2 linked regions of the Lytechinus pictus genome follow. The protein of the gene in region 2 binds, or shares a complex with, the protein of the main gene of each other region. Links are inferred from orthologs where the notes say so. Each region holds a gene or a part of one and is shown on either strand. Other genes may lie near its edges.

The links.
Region 1: ragulator complex protein LAMTOR4 homolog (region 2) and ragulator complex protein LAMTOR2-like share a complex: the UniProt entries of both Drosophila melanogaster proteins name them as parts of the ragulator complex. The link is inferred for Lytechinus pictus from reciprocal best matches to the Drosophila melanogaster genes Lamtor4 and Lamtor2.

Annotation. Positions count from the first base shown.
Region 1 is NC_087254.1:9,444,041-9,452,521, forward strand, and holds the start of ragulator complex protein LAMTOR2-like, read left to right. Parts: upstream 1-5,046; 5' UTR 5,047-5,325; coding exon 5,326-5,393; intron 5,394-7,097; coding exon 7,098-7,260; intron 7,261-8,236; coding exon 8,237-8,326; intron 8,327-8,481. Other genes in the region: protein ecdysoneless homolog, read right to left, coding at 90-564, 1,229-1,407, 2,840-2,927, 3,784-3,898, 4,845-5,046. UniProt on the Drosophila melanogaster protein: Regulator of the TOR pathway, a signaling cascade that promotes cell growth in response to growth factors, energy levels, and amino acids. As part of the Ragulator complex, may activate the TOR signaling cascade in response to amino acids.
Region 2 is NC_087260.1:995,491-1,004,466, forward strand, and holds the start of ragulator complex protein LAMTOR4 homolog, read right to left. Parts: upstream 3,438-8,976; 5' UTR 3,075-3,437; coding exon 3,072-3,074; intron 2,331-3,071; coding exon 2,247-2,330; intron 1-2,246. UniProt on the Drosophila melanogaster protein: Regulator of the TOR pathway, a signaling cascade that promotes cell growth in response to growth factors, energy levels, and amino acids. As part of the Ragulator complex, may activate the TOR signaling cascade in response to amino acids.

The sequences.
Region 1 (8,481 bases), on a different chromosome or scaffold from region 2:
TTGCTGAAGGAAATTACGCCATGGCTGGGATTCGAACCCACGACCCTCTGTTTCAAAGTCCGAAGACTAATCCACTGGGCCACAACGCTCTACGTTGTGGAGCTCATCATCATCATCATCATCATCATCATCATCATCATCATCATCATCATCATCATCACATCATCATCATCACCAGCATCATCATCATCACCATTATCATCATCATCATCATCATCATCATCATCATCATCATCATCATCATCATCATCATCATCATCATCATCATCATCATCATCATCATCACCAACATCATCATCATCATCATCATCATCATCATCATCACCAGCATCATCATCATCACCATCATCACCATCATCACCATCATCACCATCATCATCATCATCATCATCATCATCATTATCCATCCTCCTCCTTCTCACCTTTAAATCAAGTGGGTCTCTGTGATAGAACGCTTCAACTGCCGGTGAGACCAAGCTTGGCTGCTGTTTCAGTATAGCGGCTAGCTTGGCTGGCATCAGGCAATGGGTATGATGAAAATTGGATTGCACTTTCGAAGGGAATCTGCAAATATCAATCCACACAAAGTTGATAGTTAAACACTGAGTGACTTCAAGATTGGTGTTGGTGTTAAAAATGTGACAGACTGCTGAACAGGGAAAGATATGGATGGCATTATCGATAGCTCATGATGTCACACCTCTGCCGATCATCTCAATAGCATGCGAGAAGTCTTGAAGATGATAGTAAGACCGGCATAAAATTTGGTAACCTCACATCACATACGGTGTTATGGCTGGTGTTGACATTTGTACGATACCATAAAAGGTTTCAACACTGTATTTGAAATCACCCTCTCTTGATTTCTAAAAAATTTTCATCAAACTGTCTTTAGAATGGTTGTTGAAAATGATGAAATTATTACGTACTTTTCAGAAGTATATTCACCAAATTGCATACATCCGACACCCGATCAAAATAAATCATCATGTAAAATTCATTTCATTACGCTTGATCCTTGACATAGTAACTGTTTTAGGGCATACACATCCATATTTTCTAGTAATAAATTAGAATAGTGATAGATGCATCATGGGGGTCTATCAAAGCTAAAATCAGGCTTTAACTAGCTGTTATATTTCATAAATGGAAAGCTATTTCAGTAAAGGGGACAAGAAGGGGGGGGGGGGTCAGGGAGGGTAGTAAAATATTGAAAAGCAGTGCTTACTCATCAATTCTTGCTCTGACTGCTTCTCTGATGGTCAACTTGGCAAGCGTTTTCTGAAAATGACTGCGGACTACGTCTATGGCATGTGATTTAGAAGGAATACCGGCTGGTAGGAAGGCTAGCTCTGCAGGGTTACTTGGCTTGGGAATGATGTGTAGATCCCCTCTGTATATAAAGACCTGAAAAGATTTAAAGTTTAGTATTAAGAAAATCATTTAATATTAAGAAAAAGTTGCAAAACTAAATACGTGATCCTCCACCTCAAAACTGAGAATAAGTTGCCAAGTAAGATTATCTTTAATAAGCCAAAATAGTAATTGGTCTTCGAAAAAAGTAAAATTTATAATCTTACCTGATAGAGTAATTCTTTTCCTTCATTACTGTCAAAATTTGAAGTTGCAAAGTTACCGGTATATAAAAATGAGATACAAAGAGTTTCTTTGACATCAATTTTTTTGCAGAACTGCTTGGAACATCCAACAAGATTACATAGAATGCATGCATGAGTGAACCCCGAACTTCAAACCCTGATTTCTCCTATGCCTTGAAGCTCTCACTGAAACTCTACTTCATTTGATCAAGTACTTGCGTAGTTTACTTTTAATCAATTTATTTTATCAATTAGCTTAAGATTTACTTTTTTCAATATTCAATTTCGAAATTCATTTTGGGTGACTTATTGCAGGGTGCTACATAACTTTTTAGAAGCACTTGCCCTGTCAGACAAGTAAATTATTCCAATAGTTGGAATATACTTGCCCCAAAATCTATTTCACTTGCCCGAAAAATCCTTTAAAAAGTTTTACCTCTTAAAAAGAAAATTTTGCGGTTTTATAAACCATTAAACTTTTTCTCTCTTTTGACATGAACTGATCTTCCGGCCATGACCACAATTAGGGTCAATATTATATCGACCCTAATTTTGATATTCTGCTGTGAGAATTTTGCTTGCCCAATTCGGGCAAGTAGTTTGGTCTTTACTTCAAAACACTTGCCCAACTCTAACTTTTACTTGCCCCGGGCAATCGGGCAAGTGCTTATGTAGCACCCTGCTTATTGTGTGTTCTGGGTGAGTTTCACAAATTACATAATCAACATTATTATTACACTGATTTCAACCAAAGGCTTGTTTGACAATGCTGTCTTCAAGTTACAAATGACTTGACACACAGATGGTTACAGGGAACCTTTTCTTGTGCTAACTAAAATACTTGAAACGTTCACTGGTTTTTCAACACAGACTGAGTTTTCAGGCAAATTTTTTTTTTGAGAATTTGGAATTGAGATGCCTGCCAATGGCAAGAATGTCAATCTACTTAGATCACATTTCAATTTCAGCTGAAGGGAATAAAAATAGTCAAACTACTGAATAAGCACCCAAGAAAGGATCACCAGTCGCACATGAAATCGTAACTTACAAACAGCTTTATGGAACAGTATCCTGTGACCTTTAGCAGTCATCGTCATCTCACACACTAAGGTGATATGCTCTACATCACATTTCACTTCTCTATTACAGATGTGTAAGTGACCTTTCCTCGCAAAACTTGAAAATTGAAGTGTCCAAAGTAAAACAGGTCCACTTAAGCAAGCACATCACCATATACTTACCCTGTTGATGCTAGTCTCCGGTTCCAGCCACTTTGGTAAATGATACGCAGCCTCAATCAGTAAGAATTCGCCATCATTATCATGAACACTGATAAAAAAGAGGTATAATTAGATTTCAAGAGTATAGTCAAATCATCAGAAGATATAAAGCCCAAAGTAACGTGATAAGTATTAAAAGATATAATTCCTAAGCTACTTGAAATAGAACAATTTAAGTATGCATTCTGGAATTAATATACTGTGTGATTTGTCTATTAAACCTTTGATTTATGAAGACCTTTGACTGTTTAAAACAATAGTACTAAAAGAATAGAATTTGACTAGCTACTTTACAAAACTTTTCCAAGATCTGTAGCGATGTGTCTTTATTCTATTAAAATGGTTTTGTACTCACTTGTACCTGCATTCTGAAGGATAACCATAAAGATATTAAACAAATTTGGGGACAATACTGACTACCATTATCATCATCAACTTCATCATCATCATCAACATCACAATTATCATCATCATCATCCTTTATCATCACCACCCTCACCTTCACCCTCACCACCATCATCATCAACATCACTACCACCATAAACATCATCATCATAATCATCACCACCATCATCATATTCATCCTTTATCATCACCATCCTAAACTTCACCCTCACCATCATCATCATTACCACCACTACCACCATCACCATCATCATCACTACCACTATCACTATCATCATCCTTACCTCCATCATTATCACCACCACCACCATCACCATCTACATCACCATTGTCTTCTTCATGATCATCACCATCACCATTACCATCATCATCATCATCCATCTTCATCACTATATTTCCATACCATTTCAAAAAAGATTGTGTACTAATGATCCTCCAAATATGGACAATATTAATTTTTAGTACAGTTCATAAGAAAGATTGTCATTTTTTTCTCTCACCTTATGACCAGCTCCGGCATGACAACTGTGAGCTGATATAGAAGGAAGACAATGAACCACTCATCATCAATATTATCACCAAAGTCTGTTGCACCATGAAGGTGTGGTGGAGAATCTGAAAAATTGCATTTATTAAAAAAAACATTTTCATAAATCGAAGTAAACTACAAAATTTAAAAAATATTCTACGTTAACCCTTTAAGTAAAACATGAAGAAGGAAAAAAAGTGGGCACATTAATGAAAAAGGGAAGAGTGGTAAGGGGTTTGAGAAAACAATAAAGGAAAGGTAAAAGTTGATAGAGATGATAGGTGGAAGAAAGAACACTAATAACATGAATAATGACTAAATAATTAACTGCAAAAAAAAAAGCGTCAATTCATAATTCATTGCCATAAATACTCTTAAATTTAGTGCTATTCACTTTAATATATCCTTAAACTATTCTGTTTATGAAGTGAATTGCCATGCAGCATTGCGAAAACTAAACCGAGCAATTCAGAAATCTAAAAGTATGGTCAGTTCCCCCATGTCTGCGCGGTCTCCCAAGTCTGCGCACCCGCGTATCTGCGCGATTCTAGTAAAAGAAGATACGCAACGAGCACGAACTTTACACATGCAATACATAGACAGGTATTCATAAAAAAATCAGACTCAAATAAAATTTAAGTCAAAATGGTGAAAAAATAATGAATTCAGGGCATTTCATGTGATGGCCTCAAAATACAGCCTTTCTCATCAAAATCTCTGAATCGTGTGCAAAGTGAATGAGTGCGCAGACATGGGGTACCATTTTTTTTTTCAATCTGAAAATGACTGCCCAAGGTTTTTTCAAGAAAATCCTATATTTTCTTTCATTTTTTCATGAGAAATTTGGTATACTTACTCTCAATAATATAAGGAACATTATTATCCAAAAGATTTTGTGAAATAAGAAGAAATTCATGTTAAATCTTAACTCAAATTGTTCGGTGCGCAGACTTAGGGCCCACCATCATAAAACAAGTTTTGTTTTGAGTTGAACACTGAAATAAAACAAGCAAGTTAATGGGTGGGACTAACCTGAAACTGAACTGACAGGAGTCAGTTTAAACGATCCACGCTGCCAAATGTAGTCCACTAGCAGTGGTGATAAGTGAACCATACATGTGTCCAAAAAGTCCTGCAAACATATCTCGATTTCTTTACAACTCTTTCCCTCAAAGTTGTTGTTTGTAAACAAATCGTATTCTACAACGTTTTGCACGTGATTTGTCCCTTCCATTTCGCAGTCAAAATATGAGAATGCGCTAAGATTCAACGCTTTAACTTGAATATATTCTTTCGTTGAATCCTGTGGTTGAAACGATGAAGCTATGTTAAAAGAAAGGAGCACAGTCTGTAAAATCACATGACCAGTTTCAGCTGCTACGATAGAGTATATTGTTGTGTGGTGTGTGTGTGCTGATTCTACTGCTAGTACTTTGACTGCCCAAACTGCACTTACAAGATTGGAATTGGAAAGGTCTTTAATTCCTTAGAATAATTTATCTCGTCACTCAAAATGCTTAAACCCAAGGCCCTCACACAAGTCCTAAGCCAGGCAAATACTGGAGGAGTTCAGAGTTCGCTGTAAGTATATATTTCATAATTTTTTTCATTTGATCATGTTTGCTGGTTTTATACAAAATCAGTCACAATCACAGTCACACTCACACACATCATCATTGATAAACCTTGTTCAATAATAGTAGTGGTGGCATCGTCAATATTGAAATCTAACTACGGTACTAGTAGTAATACCTACACTGAAAATCATTTGTCTTTGAAATTGACATGATACACCTTCGCAAGTCTTTTGTTTTGTAGTGGTCTCGACTCGTCTTATTTTGAAAATGTATTTACTCATGTCTATTTTTTTTTTAAGTCAGGGACAGTGAAGAAGAGGCAAGAGAGGTATGTTTTATAATGAAGTGAAATTCATGATCAAGCATGAACAGTACGATGTTGGTCCCCAAGTCTGCGCACCTAACGATTTGAGTAAAGAATTAACATGAATTTCTTTTTATTTTAGTTTACAAAATCTTTCAGTTGATATAATGTTCCTTGTCATCATTATGAGTTAGTGTGCCAAATATCTCATAAAAATTGAAAGAAATATATGATTTTTCTTGGAAAAAAGTTCGGGCAGTCATTTTCAGATTGAACAAAAAAATGATGCCCCATGTCTGCGCATCCATTCACTTTGCACCCGATTCAGGGACTTTGATGAGAAAGGCTGCATTTTGAGACCGTCACATGAAATGCCCAAAATTCATTATTTTTTCCAACATTTTGAGTCAGATATTTAAATGAATATCTTTCTATGTATTGCATGTGTATAGTTTGTGTTCATTGCGTATCTTCTTTTACTAAAATTGCTCAGATATGCGTATGACAATGGGGACTGCGCAGACATGGGGGAACTTGCCATGTAACAATAACATTGCATTTGTCCCAATATCAATGATAGGCTGGTATTCAGATAGACCCATATGTAGTAGATTTAATGATTTAGCCTACATTTAATTGCAAATTTGCAACTTAACTGTTATAATTGATTGTTACATACGTGTATGTAAGGAATGCCCAATGATTCATCATAAACCCTTATTGCATATTTTGAAATCATCCAAAATGTGAATGACTATGATTCTTATGAATCATGTGAGAAAAGCGGGACAGTTAACGAAAGCAATGACTACGATCAGCTACCGTATTTTGACAATAGTTATTTTTTGAGAAAATAAAACGTGAAATTCTCTTTGTAAGAATGTTGCATCAATAACAGTGTATTTTGATAAATAATCCGATAGACATGAGGAATAACCGTCGTTTCTGGGGATTTATTTAACAATTAAACTATTGCTGCACTTGTTTAGGGGGTCAATTCAGGAAATACTAGTCAAGGGTATCGTTTTTTTTCCAATACTTGTTAAGGGTAGGATTTCACCAGACAGGAATAACCGTCGTTTCTGGGGATTTATATTACAATTTCTGACATTTTACTATCATCCCCATGTACTGGTGAGTGGAGCCAACGCAGTTCAGCGGAGCAACCAAATATAGAGACCGAAGCTTTTGGTCTTGGGGTTCACATGCCAATATTTGTTAAGGGGTGTATTTTCAGAATATGGAAAATACTTATTTAGGGTGCTTTTTTAAACACCATGGTTGCGCCTGGTATCCACTCGTCAATGGAATTGCCCCCCTCCCCCCCCCCCCCCCCCCCCGCGTAAGACTGCAAGAATCTCTACAGATGAATGAGATTATAAATTTTCCCTCTTTTTTCTCCAGATTGCTCAACAATGAGGGCTCCCTTCTAGCCTATTCTGGTTACGGAGACAAAGATGCTCGGGTGACGGCAGCCATTGCTAGCAATATTTGGGCAGCGTATGAGAAGAATGGCAAGGTGGCTTTTACAGAGGATGACCTCAAACTAGTGCTCATGGACTGTGAGGTAAGTTGATTCTTTCGAAAGGGTCTGGATAATTTGTAAATAGTTCAGATAATGATAATAATATGCAAAATTTATAAAGCGCTTTATACGAAAGTTTCAAAGCACTAAGAAAGAAGGGGGAAAAAGAATACAAGATATCTCAGTTAAAGAACAACAAAGAACAATGATGGAACAGATGGTAATTTGTTTTCTTTAAAAATGGGTTAAAGGTCTAATATCTTGCCTCAGACAGCTGTCAAATTTAGAAACGATCCCGGTTCCACTGCCATTACAATGTGTAGACCACACCATGCTTGTACATACAAGCACATGAAAAGGATTATTTCTCTCTGCTGCTGATCTAAATGGATTAGGTGAAAATGGTATCAAAAATTGATGAATTCAGGAGAAGAAAATGGGTACACTTCTCCCCCTATAATTAGAATCAAATATTTGAGTAACCAAAAAAAAATTAGATTTAGATTAATTTATTAGTCCATATTAAAAACAGAAATTTGTCCTCCACTGGCAGTACATAAATACAGAATAGAAAGTATATAAGGGTGGGGAAATCATGACAAAATTCCTATGTTGGGTACTCCTAGATCCGAGGATAATCACTTGCTTTAGTGCTTCGGGACCATTTTAAAAGTTAATGTGAGAGTATGGTTTCAGTTTCATAATGAAAGTGCCCCCTTCCCCTCTCCCAGAAAATAACGTTCAGCCAATTTTCTATAAATGAATATGATCTCAAAGTAAGAGACATTTTTCAGAAAAAGACCTATGAATGGTTTGATCTAATATATTTATCACTTCCTCTCTTCTTTTTAGGGGTATTTATTAGGAATCACTTTCTAATTTAGCAAGTTAAAAAAAAAGAATTTTATTCAATTTTGATTTTTTTTTTGGAATTAGATATAATTTAGACAAATAACCAGAATTGAATCTGTGAGGAAATTATTGTATATGTATCTATTTCTGTTATATTTTCTCTCAGAATGGACGAGTTGCCATCGCTAAGGTTGCCAATTTGCTCCTATGCATCCATGCAGAATCATCGGTAGGCTTTGGAATGTTAAAGAAAAAGGTAAGGAATTTATTATTTTTATTCAATTCATGATGTTATCATTTGACTTTATATGTTTCATGATTGTCGTTAATGAGTAGTAATGAGCAGTTGAATTAATTTCCATATAAGGTGGAAAAGGTATTTCCTGCCTACAATATAGATTTCTTCTGAAT
Region 2 (8,976 bases):
GACAAGTCCTTTCATGAAACGCTCCCCAGAAGTCACCAGAGTCAGCAAGTGTGTAGATCTGTGTGTAGAAGAGAGAAAAAAAGAAATAGTTTAAATAATCAAATCAAAGTATGAATTTAATTATCGTGATGATCGATGACGTGCGGTGGCATGTAATTCCCGGTCAACAACAAATGATAGTAGGTTAAGACACCTGAAAAGTTCCACTCAGAACACTGGTGCTCTACCGCAAGTGATGTTTGTGTAGGCCCCACTCCACTTCACTACCGCTACACTACAGTACATGTACGCCACACCTACCCGGGTAGGTGTGTAGCGTAGTGTAGGCTGTAGCAGTAGTGAAGTGGAGACTACACAAATATCACTTGAGGTACGGTGCTCTCTGAGTCTCTGTGTCATTACAAAGATTGCATTTATCTTCATTGTTGAAGGCATTACGCATGCATATATGCAGCAACACTCTAATCAGAAAGAAACACCAGACTCTAATTTTGGCCCACCCAAGGGTTCATTACATGCCGCCGCGCACAGAAAATTCAAGCCATAGAAGTCGTGTGTTGTGGACCCAAGAAGTGAGATCCCAGCACGCGCGACCCACTAGTTAGAAATCCACTGCCAAACGCGGTTCGTGGTGCGAGGTTAGTATACTAATACTAACCTCGCAATACGTGTGAGTGATTTGGGCCAGGAATCAGGGTAATCACCACTCACACGTATTGCGAGGTTAGTATTAGTATACTAACCTCGCACCACGAACCGCGTTTGGCAGTGGATTTCTAACTAGTGGGTCGCTCGTGCTGGGATCTCACTTCTTGGGTCCACAACACACGACTTCTATGGCTTGATTTTTCTGTGCGCGGCGGCATGTAATGAACCCTTGGGTGGGTAATCACTGCTGAAAATTTGTCTGGCTTCATGACATCGGCATCATGGTGATATAATTCTGTGTATAATAAAAACTTAAACATTCCTCTGAAACAGCAGATTTTCAGCCATGGTCCATACCAGTGCTCCTAAATAATTTGAATTAATTTAATCGCCTGCCTGAGTCCTGACCAGTTTTAGAAATCTGAAGAAAAAATCTGCTGGAATTGTGCAAAAACATTATTTCTAAAATAAAGACTTTTTAATTTTAATAGTATACGCCAAAATGCATGATTCTAAACTTATATCAGATCTGTATCTGTCATCTGACCTGAATGCATCGTCAGAACAAGTACAGTTTCCAAACATGCTTACCTTGACTTTTGACTGGATCAAACAGCGTAACCTGCAACATGCATCGGGAGCAAGTGAATGGGACCGTGCAGCTTGGAGTTTTTCAATAGTTAGTAGAGCAACACAACGAAGACTGTCGAGTGGACAAAATCGATCTTTCCAGTTCAGAATTCAATAAAAACCGGGCAAAATAACACAGTTCTGGTTCCCTTATAGTCTGAAGTTGTCGAAAACAGAATTCGGATATCACAATACATGAAGAAAACGGTAAATTCAAAGAAAAATAGAGACCAGGAAGGTGAATCAGCTATCACTGTACTGCTGGCTTGCACAGAGCTAGAGAGCGGCTGAGTGAGTCGATCATCATGTGACGTCATTATTCTCGACTGTATTTGATCGCGGTCTGGGGGGCTGAGAAGGGTCTCTAATAATTTCATTTCTTGCATTTCCACGACATCAATAAGACTTTTTAGTGACATATTTGTGTATAAAAAGACAAGACCTTTCCATTCATATATAATTTGTCTATAATCATCACTTTCGTGAATTTTCTTTGGATGTATACTTTAACGTTTAAAAAAAATCTTGGACAAGACCACTGACCAAGCTGCAAACTTTAATACGAACAGTCTATGAATGGTCTGCCTTCTTCGGAAGATCTCACAGAAAGGTTTGAGAACATTTGTATGGTATCCCTTGTTGCTGTTTTAGCTAAATACATTGAATATTTTTGCCTGCATAATTTACAGTAATTTTAAAATATCAATGTAATAAATTGAGAGTACAGCATTGCATTATTCACGCAAACAGTTCTTTTTAGGTAATTGTGACCAAACCATAAAATCTCATCTGCAAACTTCCCTCAACATTGCGATTACAAAACTAGCATTTCTTCTTTTTACTATTCACATAAAAAAAAAAGATCCCAAAGTAAAAGAGGATGGGATACAGAAATGGGCCCAAGGCACTATAGAGAAAGTATGGGAGGAGGAATAGTGGAAAAGACTACAGAAGTTCTTGGTTCTTACAGCCATGACTGCTCCACTATCATTGAGGATTAGGTATCCCTCCTGGTTGGGTACTTTATCAAGATTATGAGGTCCTGGTCCACTCTGTGAAATATTGAAAATAGAAAAGATTGGATGAAAATGAGATATTTTGCCAAACATATTCATGTATAAGAAAACAAAATTATCTTAGTAAGTGCCAGCTTTTAATCCAGATGAGAAATAATCATGATTATCATCTGCTCAAGCCTAGATGAATGAAGGTATTCTAGTTTATACACAGTTTGTCTATGACTATGTGTCATCAATGCTAGGCTGACTAAGTAAAAATTGTGATGTAAAATTGGTTTTAGTTTTTACTGGACACACCCATCCTTAAGATACAAAAAATAATAAAAGTCTAAAAATTCCTCAGAACAGATGTCTCCTTCCCGATGTTTGCCGAATGCCTAAAATTTACACTGAAAATCATTTTGGGTGTGCAAAAATGTTCCAGATCCAAATTTCATCGGTCACGTCTGTGAAGCATTTTTCACATTTTACGGATTAAAATAATGTCCACTGAGCAAATGTTGGCAGAGTAATGGTCACATATGCGGCATGCGGAGTAAATGTCGGCGGAGCAATCGTTTTCAGTGGAGCAATTGTTGCACTTTGCGGAGCAATCGTCTCATTACGTTTCCTTTTGACTTTAAATTAACATACATGAGCCATTACCATGGACAATTGTTGTTGCGGGCACTAGCCTAGACCAGTACTTAATAGTACACTACAGACATTTACACGGACGAGTCCAGCCCCAGGTCACAGCTCAGCTCCGGGTTAGACAAAGCTCAAATTACTTACCATGATTTTGATATTTGTCCGCACTTTATTTCAATAAAACTGTTGTCAAATTATACTCCCTTGAAATAGATGCTGATGTGAATACTCGTCAGAAAATCAGATTTCAATGAATAAATATGCAGTTTTACAGAATGCCTACTGGACTTTCCGTTACATGACCAAGACTCCGACAAGGCAATACTGCTTGCTGTACCGGTACCGTACTGGTATATGGTACAGCCTACAGGTACAGTTGGTCAGGTGACTACAAGTGGAAGATTGGACGTACATCGACAGTAAAGAGCGCAATGAAACGCTCAGGAAACGCTCAGGAAGAGCGCCCAACAGCGTTGAGTTAGTAATGGGCGCATGGGATCCGGCAATTTCGGGAATCCCCCTTTTAACCCGTACCATGACGTAATGGTTGAAAAATATTCATATAAAATCAACGGTGCATATCTGAACAATTTTTTGCACATGGGTACAGACTACAGAGAGGGATCAGGGGCCGCGGAACGGTTTTCAAAGTGGGGGGGGGGGCTGAGCCAAAAGCAGACCATGCTAAAAATCACAATCATGTGGTAATTTTTACGTTTGTGTATATACGGTTTTGGAAAAAAGTGGGGGGCTGAAGCCTTCCCCCCCCCCCCCGGTTCCACGGCCCCTGGGGATTACTACTGGATCTTTTCAGTGCCATGGGAGAGAAGTAATTTGTCAATGCTGGATTTTATGGGAACTTGAATAGTTGCCCAAGAAACCCTGTGAGCACTGTGACTGCAACCTTGCATGCATGTAGTCTTGGTTTGAGCCCCTGTAGCGCGAAAAAATGCTGCAAAACACCTTTTCATATCTTTAGCGTTTGAAGGAATAGGATATTGGATGAACTACCAAATGATAAAGGTGTGGATGCTGTCATTATTAAGACTTAATTATTTTTGGCGATTTTTTTTTTCAAATCTCTTTTTTATATAGCACATGAGTCTATGGGGAAATAGTTAGTGGTGTGTGCCTTAATGACCTTTTTTTAATTTGAGTATCGCGAGATGGTTGTGTACAAAACATGTGAGAGAAATGAAGGAATAGAATAGACGATTTTTACATTTTAATTTTTTTTCCTTCAATTTTTCCACCTTAAATTTGAGATGAATATATTTTAGAGGTTTCTTGGTAATAAAAGTGGAAATATTCCCATGCGCCACCATTGAGCCCTCTCCAAACTCTCTTCTCTCATTTCCCCCCATATATTTGATATGCGAAGATTTACTTACTCAACTCTCATACTTCCACTGATCTCTCCACTAACTTAATGGAGAGATCAGTGATACTTCCCCAGGAGCATTTTTCGGGCGTTTGGGAGCGTACAAAAATCGACGAAGTGTCCGATCTTCCCCTATATAGGGCTAGGGCATAGAGATATACTAGGGACGGGTTTCATAAAAACAAATTGCTTTTCAAATTGTTGACAGTAATTTTGATAACATTTCTTTTAGTTTCATGGTATTGATAAAAATCCTTTGTTGAGATTTATCCATGCTGTAAAAATGTGTTTATTTATAGATCTAGATAAGATTTGTTTGTGGCAGCATATTTTTTTTACGTCTGAGAGCGCGTTTGACGTTGAAGCGGGGGTTTATTTATAAGATGAAATGGTACAATCCTCGATCCAATAAATATATTCAAACTTTATTGCAATAAGCTCCCAGTATTTGACACAATATACACAAAATCACACAGATATTATCACAAAACTAACTTCCCAGAAGGAAAAACCAGTTACACTGGACCAGTTAGACCAGTAAAATTTTTAACTGGTACTCTGGAAATTGGAACATCGGTTTACTGGTCTAACTGGTCATACTGATCCAGTTGAAATTTTACTGGTCCAGTTAAAAATTAAACTGGTCTTAAATTATTGGAATTTTATACTGGTCTTGTTTCTGGTGGTTGTTACTGGTCTCATGCACTGGTCTTCATATCCAATTCAAGCTGGTCTTTACTGGTATTTTCTACTGGTCTGACTGTCCTCGAACTGGTCCTCTTACTGGGCTAACTCACTGATCTCTCCCTTATCTGGATGGGAACAATAACGCTGATTGGATGGCCTATTCCGTGTTGAAGCACCGGAAGTTGTTACCTCCCCACACGCCGAGTTCCCCCAAAAAAGTCAAAATCGAAGTAGAGTCTGGTTCACGGCAATAGTGTCAATTCTTAATTATACTTACCAGATCAACTCTTATTACAGCACTTTTTAATGTGAATTTATACCTGATACAAAGTTAAAGATGCCATCCTGTGCCGCGTATGATTGCACTAATCGGGACGACCGTGGAAACAGAGAAAAGGGGATTACTTTTCACAGCTAAGACAAGCTGGTGAACTGAATAGTTGTAGACTTTATGTAGTCCCATGTGCTCAAATACATGTGTGGTAATTCTAAATTACCAGAGCAAGTTTCCAAAACTTTAAAACTCCAGGGGGGGGGGGTATATCGCCCGGGGGTTATCGATTGTTGTGATTTCTCTGGAAGCGTGATGAAATTAAACCATGATTCAAATAAATATTCAGTTTATTAATATTCATAACTGTCACCAAGTTTTATGAGTTTATCAGTCATGTTTGGACAGAAGAATATCACGAGACACGAAAATATACTGACCGTGTTAGCCTGTATTCTGAAACTTGACTTAAGTTAAGTAAAGACTGGAAATCTGCCGTTTCGGAGGAGTTGAAAAAAATGATTTTTTGCGAAGCACAGATCCTAGTGACCGAAATAGACTGATTTTTCGGTCAAGGACTAGATCTACAAGGTATTCTGAAAATTATTTTATCTTTTATTTGTGTTAATTTCCTTTGAATTAAAGGACAATAAAATTTACAAGCTAATAGGTACATGTACGGCCGGGTAGGACTATACGTTAGGAGCTAACTGAATGCAACTTGTTGCATGTGAATTTGTGATATTTCTCGTCAACAATAGATCTAATTATTTTTCCCAAGAACTTTTTTTTTTCTTAAAAGTACGTAAAAAAGACATTAGGCTACAGAAACGGATTTACAGACTTCAGAAATTTCACAGAACTTATTTTGAGATGATGAATGTCTTCAAAGAAAAAAAATGTCTCGGTGGAGCAAAAAAAAGGGGGGTTATCAACCAAAAATTTATTGGGGTGACACAAGAAAAATAATCTGACAAGCAAAAAAAAAAGGTTATCAACCCAAATTTAGGGAGGGATGCAATTAAAACAAAAGAAATAATCTGACAAGCAAAAAAAAAAGGTTATCAACCAGAATTTTAGGGCGGACCACAACAATTTTAGGGGGGTTCACCTGAATTTAGGGGGGACGCAGGAAACAAAATTGACAAGCAAAAAGAACAAGAAAGGTTATCAACATAAATTTTGGGGGGTCTGTCCGGCCCCCAACCTAAAATTTAGGGGGGACAGGACCCCCCCCCCCCCCGCTGCCTATATGAACAAACTGGGGAGAGGATAATTGAAGAGGGTCGATCGATGTGACGGAGGGAGAGAGAGAGAGATACACTCTTAAAGGGCGAGTCCACCTCATGGAAAAGATTATTTGAATCGAGAAAAACCACACAATATATGCTGAAAATTTTATCAAAATCAGAAGTAAAATATGAAAGTTATGATATTTTAAAGTTTTACTTAAGCGATTAATTTTTCGGTGTTATGCTTGTTTGATTTTTCGGGGGGTGGACTTAATAAAAGGGGGTTTCAAGCCCAGTGTTATAAGCCTGCATAACCTAGAAAGTCCTCGCCCTATCCCTAAGATGTTATTTGGCAAACCTCCAAAATACCCCTAGACAAGTCAAGGATTTCATCCATTCTAGACGGGTCAATATATGGTTGGACCCGGAACAAATTGCTACAAATTATTTTTCAACTGTTTCTGGCAGTATTTGCCCTCAGGAATAACATACTAAAAATCTACCAAAATCCGCATACGGCAAAGTAGTTATTTTTAAGATGGCGTCCAAGATGGCCGCCATTCACTGAAAATTGATATAACTCACTCATTATCCACCCGAAAGTCCTAATTCGATTCATACTCCATGGTCGAGTGGGTAAACGAATTTATTGATACAGGTCAGAGTGAATATTACCGCGCCAGGAAAATCCAAGATGGCGCCCAAAATGGCTGCCGTAGGCTAAAAGATCCACAATTCATCTATAACTTAATTAGATGGCTTTAATTTGGTTTCTATTCAATGGTTTGAATGTTGAAGTAGTACATCGGGACAAGTTAAAAGGACAGCCAGTTGTTTGGTGTGTCCAAAAATCCAAGATGGTTTCCAAAAATTGAGTTTAAAATGGCTGTCAATAAAATGGACATAACTCATATATCCACCAGGGAGATATGATTTTGGTGTCTAGTCCATGGTTTCAATGGTCAAATAATATATTGGGACAAGTTACAAGGACAGTCAGTGGTTCGGTATGTTCAAAAATCCAAGATGGCTCCCAAAAATGGAGTAGAAAAATGTTGTTCCTACTTACAAAAACCCAACAACATAGTTTGTTCAATGTCCGGGAATATGATTTTTGTGCCTATACCATGATTAAATGGGTAAAATAATACATTGGGATAAGTTACAAGGACGATGGGTGATCAAGTTTGTCCAAAAGTCCACGCTGGCTTAAAAAATAGTACAAATTAGCCCCTGGTATTTACAAATGGACATAGATTATGTAATATCCGTGAAGGGCATTTTGATGTCTATACCATGGTTTTAAAAGTCAGAAAATTAGTAACAAGGATAGTCAGTGGTCCAGTATGTCGAAAATCCAATATGGATTAAAGAAAAATGGAGTCTGAAATGATTGCTGTTACTTTAAAAATGGACTAAGTTCATTTAAAATCCAACAAGGAGATGTGATTTCGGTGTCAACACTATGGTTTCATGGTTAAAATATTACGTTTGGACCGGTTACATTGATATGCAGTTGTCCAGTTTTCCTAAAAGTCCAACAGGGTTTTCAAAAAAGGCAGCTAAAACGTCTCATATCACTCAGTAATGGTCAGAGTTCTACAATATATATCTGTAAGAAATAATTGGTGTCTAAATTGTGTATGCAGGGTCAAATAATACATTCGGACAATTAAAAAAAGATGGTTAGTATTACATTTTGTAAAAAAAAATCCATGGTGGATTATAAAATTACATCAAAATGGGTGCTGTTACCAACTCATGAAACAATATGAAAACTAAGTGTAGGCACCAAGATTATTTCTCACAGGTGGATATTGTTTGAACTATGTCTATTTTTAAGTAACATCACTCACTTTGGAACCCATTTTTTAAGTCAACTTGGATTTTAAGGCAAAATGGATAACTGCATATCATTGTATCCAGTCCCAAAGTATTTTTGACCCTTGAAACCCTAATGTAGACACCAAATTAATATCCCCAAGAAACAACAGTCATTTAAAACCCCAATCTTTAAAGCCATCTTCGATTTTTGGACATACCTGACACCTGAATGTCCTTTCAACTTAACCCAATATATAACTTGACCCTTTAAACTCTAGTGTATACACCAAAATCATACCTCCAAGGTGTATTTCTTATAAACTATGTATACTTTTTAGTAACAAATGTCAATTTACACCCCATATATTTGAAGTCACCTTGGATTTTTTAACATACAGACAACTGATCTTGTAACTTACCCTAGTGTATTACCTGACCCTTTAAACCATGGTTTAGACACCAAACTCATATTCCCCCAGTCAGATATTGAACAAACTATGTCCTTTTATATAAAGTAACATCATATATTTTTTTACTCCATTTATGGAAGCCATCTTGGAATTTCTGACACTCTAGACCACTGACTGTCATTGTAACTTATCCTAATATATCCTGACCCTAACCATATTTTAGACACCGAAATCATATCTCACA